2 linked regions of the Rattus norvegicus genome follow. The protein of the gene in region 2 interacts with the protein of the main gene of each other region in a biochemical or structural test. Links are inferred from orthologs where the notes say so. Each region holds a gene or a part of one and is shown on either strand. Other genes may lie near its edges.

Region 1 (3,816 bases), on a different chromosome or scaffold from region 2:
GCATCCTGCAGCACACAGTGGGGTCACCACGGCATCTCCACCTTAGGCGCTGGGTGCGTACTGCAGTGCCAGGCGATCGAAATCGTTCTCCTACAGTGGGAGATGGGACACAGCATGAGACACACAGCCTTCTCCCTCCCCATCCCGAGGACAACCGCTCTGCGCACCTTGGCCTGGTACTCCTTGATGAAGGGGTGGGTCCTGTGTGCATCCTTCAGCTGTGACAAGTATCGGTTTGTCACCTGAGGAGAGTGGGGTGGAATTAGTCGGGCAGATATGGGGATCCAAAAGCCATGCTACCATGCAGGATGGGGTGGGAGCATGGGAGGGACCCTGACTCCCACCCCCAACGGAGAGCCAGGACAGGCTTAAGGGATCGGGAAGCACATCCACAGCTAGCCTCAGAGGTGCAGCAGAGGCTCCAGGGAGGGAGTGGCCAGGGCAGGTGATTGGCTGATGAAGCTTTTTGAGCTGTCATGTCCTAGGTTCTAAGACAGTTTTCAACTTCCTAAAGCTGTGGCCCTTTAATTCAGTTACTCATGTTGTGCTGACCCCCAACCATAAAATTTTCTTTGCTACTTCAGAAGTGTAATTTTGCTACTGTTATCAACTGTGAGGTAAAGATCTGCTATGCGGGTATGTGAAGGGCTCATTTAACATTCAGCTTGAGAGCCACTGTTCTAGGACCTAAAAGCCAGGCAGCTCCAGCCCAGCCCTGTGTACACAACACTGAGGACGCTGTCTGTCCTCAACTGGGACAGCAACAGATGCTGGCTCAGGGCTCAGCAAGCTGCACCCTGGTTACCTATGCAGAAAGCTGCACCAACTTCCTCTTCCCCCAGGTCTCCACTGGCCTCTACCTGTCCTGTTTCTGTCCTCACCACCATCCTGAAGGGGCTGAGGCCTAAGTCACACTCCAGCCTACCTCAGGGGGCTTGCCCAGGTGCTGTGACAGTACAATGAGGTTGATGAGGGTCTCAGGGTGGCCACTGTCCTGGAAAAAGATGGAGAACAGGCAGTCAACAAAACCCAGGCCCTGAACCCTCAGACCAACATCTGACTGAGGCCAGAAAGAGCCTGTCTAAGTTACCACAGGGAAGGCAGGTGGCACCAGGCTGTCCCAGAGTTTTCGTCATTCACTCTGTAAGGCAGAGGGACCATGGCCTTGTGCTTCCTGCTCAGCGTGGCTTGGGTCTGTCCTCCTAGCTTTGGGGGGCACCAAGTTTCCTTGCTCCACATTAAACTGCTGGATAATTGTGAAGTCACCCATACCCCTATGCCAAAAATTACATCGCCAGTCTTTCTCCATTGAGGCAGGGATGGCAGTGGGTCTACATTAGGTAAAGGTTGGGGACAAGCAGAAGGGAAACAACTAGTTGTCATCCTGGAGACCCCCACAGCAGGCAGCTGAGGAGGCAGTGATCTGGAGAGCGCACATGCTCACTAATCAGGTCACCTGGTTCCCATGGCCAGCTGTGCTGCCCATGCCGGCCAGCAGTGCTGCCCATGCTGGCCAGCATGTGCCACACCCACCTTGTCCAGTGCCTCTTGAAGCACGCCCTCCGCGGTCTCCCAGCGGCCCTGTGCCGAGTGGCAGGCTGCCTGGCCATTGAGCAGCAGCAGTGTGGGCGAGCACTTGTCTGCCAGCTCCTGGAATATGTAGTAGGCTTCCTGCAGCTTCTCACCACCCTGTGGGGACACCTAGGTCAACTGCTGGTCACCTGCTGGCCCGACCCTCCATGATGCACCCCAGGGAGTCACTCTCTAGACCAGCTCAGGTCCCGCCTCCCTTCCAGCAGAGGACCCTGAGTGGAGGGATGAAGACACAGAGGCCGCCTGTCCCTCCTACACTGCCCGCTCTAACCACTGTTAAGATGCTATAGAAAAGGGGTTTCCAGGGAAGTGGTGTGTGTTGGGACCACAGGGACACTGAGTCTCTAAGCGGTAGAAGGCAGTGAGGCCTGTTAGGGCAGGCCTGCAACTCCGGCTCCTCTGAGGGCTGAGGCAGGACAGCAGTTCCCATCACCCTACAGGACAAACACCAAGGCTCCACCCCTCTGCACATGTTGTCCCATACTAGTAAACTACACACAGTAAACTCAAAGCCACTACGTGGAACCTTGTGAAGTTCTGTCTAAGGTAAAAATTAACACTCTTTTTGGCTTTTTGCAACAGGGCTTCTCTGTAGAGTTCTGGCTGTCCTGGAACTCATTCTGTGGACCAGGCTAGTTTTTTACTCACAGAGATCCACCAGCCTCTGTCTCCTGGGAGCTGGGACTGAAGGTGTGCACTCCTACCATCTGGCTCAAAAATTTTAAATTTTAAAAAAGGTCAGGGAGCTGAAGATGGGTAAGCAGCTACTCTTTAAATGGACCCATTGCTGGCATCCACTGGGCACACCACAGCCACCTGTAACTCCAGCTGTGAGGGGCTGACACCCCCTTCTGGCCTCTTCAGGTACTGCATGCATATGCAAAAATCAATCTTGTAAGAGGGGCAGGGCATGGGGTGCCTGCCTGTATCTCAGTACTAGGGTGATGGATGTAGGAAGATCAGAAATTCTACAACAGCCTCAGTCACATGGCCAATCCGATGACCCCTGGGCTATGTGACACTTGCTTTTAAAACAGAACAAAATCCTTCAAAGCTAAATTTAAATAAAAATAAGCAAACTATGGCCGGGATGTAGTTTACTGTGTAGCACTTGCCAGACACGAGTAAGACCTTGGGTTCCATGCCAGTCCCATAAGGAAAGAAAAAACCCAAAAACCCAAACTGAAACTAAGTAAGTACCCCTCCAGAAAACCTGGGGCCATTCCCACCCAAGAGGAGAAGCACTTGAGGGGCCACTGGGCTCTCCTGTAAAGGCCTGTGGGCAGAAGAGCTCAGAGAGGGGGCCAAGCCCAGAAACCAGAATGGGGCAGGTGGCAGGAGGCAGGCAGTGTGAGCTAAGGATGCCCGGCTGTCACCAGCCCACGAAAGGAGCCCTGAGAGCAGGGCAGAACCACTCCAAGTCTGGGGGACACTGAGAGCTGGCCAGCTGCCTGGCTGGACTCTCTCTCCAGGAGCCTCGTCAGTGTCTGCAGGGCTCTGCCATCATGTGCAGGTGAGGTTTGGTTAAACAGAGGGTGCAGCCACAGGAGTGACACTTCTTAGTCCCTGCCTTCCCACTTCCCGATTCCTGGGGAGCTTACCATGGCCAGGTTAACCCAGGCAGTGGCCAGCTGGGTGAGGGTGGCGTCCTCATCTTGCTCCTGCATCCGCTTCAGCTCCTTCCTGGGACATTAGAGGTCGGGCACTGAGTGGCCTGGGGGCCCCAGAACCTAGGGATGGACCCTGGCACACTCTCCTACTAGTCTGTGTGCAGCTGATATGGAGAAGACATGGCTGGCCCTCCTGTTGCCCCGAATGGTACAGATGCAGAGAGATGCTACCCAGGACAGAGCTCAGCTGTGTGGTACCATCTAGGGTAAGCTCCAGGCCTGCCACAGCCTAGGGAGCTGCTACTCCGTCTCCAACAATCCCCACCCATCCCCCAAAGAACGGAGATAGGACTTGGCTTCCCACATGTCCTGCGCAGAGCCTCCCATCACCCTATAGGACAGTGTTTGCCCACAGCATGACAGAGGGAAGCAGAGCCCTACACCCTTGTTCCCAGCAAAGGATCCAGGAAGAGGCTAGGAGAGGGGTGTGTGTCACTTGTATGGGGCACAAGAAATAAGAGGCCTCGGGGAAGCTGAGGCTGACGTCTGGGTTGGTCTTGGCTGTGGCTCACCGGGCTAGGTCCAGCCTGTCCAGCTTGAGGAGGATCTGAAT
Region 2 (3,205 bases):
CTCCATAATGCTGCTATTAAAAGGAGGTAGACTTCTCCCTTCTCTCCAGTCTCAGCAGTCCCAGGCCAGCCAGGTCTACACATTAAGCTCCACACCAGCCAAGTGAGGCTCTGTCTCACAAAGAAAGAAAACTGGCTGAGGACTGCAGGAAGGCGTGCAGTCAGTGCCCTCTGCTCCTGCCTGAGGTAGAATGTGACCAGCTGCTTCAGGTTCTACCACCTTCCCTTCCCTGCAATGATGGACCTGCCACTTCGAGTCAAATGATCCCCATCTCCGTAAGGTGCTTTTGTCAGCGTCTTTTATCACCGCAGAAGCTAAGACAACTCTGTACTTACAGTAAATATGTAATTTATTATATACTCATTCTCTTCTATGTGCATATAATAAGTAAAACACGCAGAGCCGTGATGGGCATTAATAGGGGCTCAGCAAATACTGGCTGTAGTTAGAAACGAACAGAAAGTTGCAGTAAACGTGGACTCTTTTTACCAGTCCCCAACAATGTAGACGTTTCACATGTCTCCAAGAAAAACATTACCATTTTCCCCTTGTTGTGAGTATTAATTTAAAATGTATATAATGTATATAATGGTTAAAAAGTGTTCCTGAGGCAAAGAATCTGCTCTGGTGAGATAGATACATCGACATGAGCAGGGTCGTGAAAGTGAGTGTGCAAGAAGTAAATGGCAGCCAGGAGACTCTCAGAAATTTACTTTATTTGGTGAGCAACAGGATATAAGAACAATGGTAAGTTATAAAGGACAGGAACAAATCAGTGAAAACTGGTACAGATTTTGCAAAACTAAATGACTTCTTCTCAGCCTGCAAGTGTGTGGGCCCACATAAAGAAGGAACTTATTTATGACATTAAATGCACAAGAAAAATATGGGATAGTTAACAGTTCGTTTGGCTGAGGAAAAATGTCATTTCTTGCATCCTGCTGCTTGCTAGTGGAATTGGACCAAAGGCGGTAGTTAAGGAAGGAATAAATACTAAAGAATTTGCTAAACAAATGGCCAGCACAGAGTTTTCATTTGTTCCTTGGAAGGCCCAAGCTGAAACGCAAAGTCATCTATGATCACAAGCACAGTAAACTTCAGGAGAGGTCTGCAGGAGCAAGAAAATCAAGCTTGAAACTTCTGATTTGCCAACGAAGAGAAAGAACATGACGTTTTCAGGGAGAACCAACCTCAACAAGTCGAATCGTGGCTGTAGGGGAGAGTGAGGGTTTGCAGCTAGAGACTTTAAAGAACAGTGTGTGATTAACCATGCACGTGAAGGGAGAACCTTAGCGAAACTGAAGAGGACTGATCCTCAGACCAATCACATCTTTGCCAATCTCTGTCACCTGTGAAGTGAAAAACAGCATCAGGTTAGAGAACCCCAGAGAGCTTATTCCCTATACCCGCCGACGAGCAGGCAGAAGGATGCTTGGTGCTGAGAAGTGAGCAGTGAAGGAAGCACTAGCTTTGCAGTGTCACTGCCTGAGGGAGCCGCAGCAAATGCAGGGAGAGAGCCAGCACCAAGCTTCCTTTGCCCCTTCCCTCAATATCCCACACACTTTCTTTCTTTTGTTGGATCCCCACCCCAACCCTGATAGACACACTCTTGAGGACAGTACTTACTGTAGTGACCCTGCAGATCTGCCCTTTGAACTCAGGGGAATAGCAGGCCCCACTGAGTGGACACTTCTCCACTGGTTTTCCACGGTAGATGGGCCGGTAAGATGCAGCACAAATGTCAAAGGGGTTGTGCATGTCATAATTGAGCTGGCAGGCATCTGTGGGGTTTTTCTCACAGGCAGACAAGATTTTCCTTGTCTAAAGGAAGGAAGGAAGGAATATTTACGAGTACAGAAAGCATCATGATCTCCGATGCGATTATACGTTAGGCATGGTGGTTTATTTCTATAATCCCAGCACATAGGAACAGGGGGATCCCAAGTTCTAGGACAGCCTGAGTTATATACCCAGTCTCAAGAAACAGAACACGACAACTAAAGTAACTACGCCATGAGAATACAGGGCCCATCCTCTGTCTAGGATGTATGTGAAAAAATGACAATTGCCACTGTGCTGGTTGTACCAGTACATCCCAGAGCCCAGAAGGCAGTAGGAGGTCAGGAGTTTGGGATACACAGTGAAATCTTTCTCTTTCTCCAACATGGCTCCATGCTCTAAAGCCATAATCCTGTTTACTTCTGGGATTAGATTATCAGGATTGGGCCCCATAAAGAGCTGAAACAGGTTTCTAGTGCCCAAGGAGAATGTTTTTAGGTGGCATGGATCCTGGACTATGAATGAAAGTATAAGAGGTAAAGAGGGGTCACCTGGAGCTGAAGAACAGCTGAATTATCTGCAGGTGCCCGGAGTTTAAGGCTAGGAGCTCACCTGCAGGCCCACTGGGGCTATTCTAGGTTGCAAGGCCACAAGAGAAGGGCTGGTAAGCCCAGCACAAATGTCAAATTGAAATTAAGTCAAAATTAACACAGCACTTGGGAGGCAGAGGCAGGCAAATTTCTGTGAGTTCTAGGACAGCCAGGGATACAGAAAAAAAACTGAAATCAAACTTGGGCAAGGTTTTTACTTCTCACTACTAAAATTTAGTCAAGTCAACTACAGGATCTACTCCATTTAAACATCTATATAGAGTATTTTAGAATGCCATGCACCCAATGCCATATCTGAATAAATTATCACTCCGGTTTCAAGGGGGAAAAGATGCCCCAAGGTAAGTAACCAGAAGGCAGCATTCTATTGGCTTTCTTGGGTGGAGTGCTGTTCTATTGTTTCAGAGAGAAGGATATTGGCTTCTGCTCCTCAATTTTTTTTTTTTTTTTTTTTTTTGGTTCTTTTTTTCGGAGCTGGGGACCGAACCCAGGGCCTTGCGCTTCCTAGGTAAGCGCTCTACCACTGAGCTAAATCCCCAGCCCCTGCTCCTCAATTTAAGATCTGGTTCCCCCAAAGGCACTGATGGAATTCCCCTGTACCTGTTGGGCTACTTCAGGTTTGGGCCCAAGTTCCAGCAGGCGTCGGGCAAAGGTGGCAGCTGTCTTGAAGTTCTTGAGCTTGAAGAAGAGGTTGAGGGCTGTCCTCAGCACCAGGATCATGTGCACAGGCTGCAGGTTTGAGTGTGTGAAATAAGCCGCCATCTAGTGAACAGAAAGGAGCACCGAACAAAGTGAGGTTCAGCTGTGGTTTATAA

The links.
Region 1: the proteins of Copa (region 2) and Cope form a complex in vitro, tested with the Homo sapiens proteins (3 studies listed by BioGRID, with this or other methods). The link is inferred for Rattus norvegicus from reciprocal best matches to the Homo sapiens genes COPA and COPE.

What each region holds. Positions count from the first base shown.
Region 1 is NC_086034.1:19,148,874-19,152,689, forward strand, and holds part of Cope (coatomer subunit epsilon), read right to left. Parts: coding exon 3,776-3,816; intron 3,277-3,775; coding exon 3,195-3,276; intron 1,690-3,194; coding exon 1,534-1,689; intron 995-1,533; coding exon 926-994; intron 243-925; coding exon 168-242; coding exon of another isoform or gene 91-167; coding exon 43-90; coding exon of another isoform or gene 24-42; 3' UTR 1-23. UniProt on the Homo sapiens protein: The coatomer is a cytosolic protein complex that binds to dilysine motifs and reversibly associates with Golgi non-clathrin-coated vesicles, which further mediate biosynthetic protein transport from the ER, via the Golgi up to the trans Golgi network.
Region 2 is NC_086031.1:87,116,748-87,119,952, reverse strand, and holds the end of Copa (coatomer subunit alpha), read right to left. Parts: intron 3,153-3,205; coding exon 2,991-3,152; intron 1,822-2,990; coding exon 1,627-1,821; intron 1,350-1,626; coding exon 1,290-1,349; 3' UTR 697-1,289; downstream 1-696. UniProt on the Homo sapiens protein: The coatomer is a cytosolic protein complex that binds to dilysine motifs and reversibly associates with Golgi non-clathrin-coated vesicles, which further mediate biosynthetic protein transport from the ER, via the Golgi up to the trans Golgi network.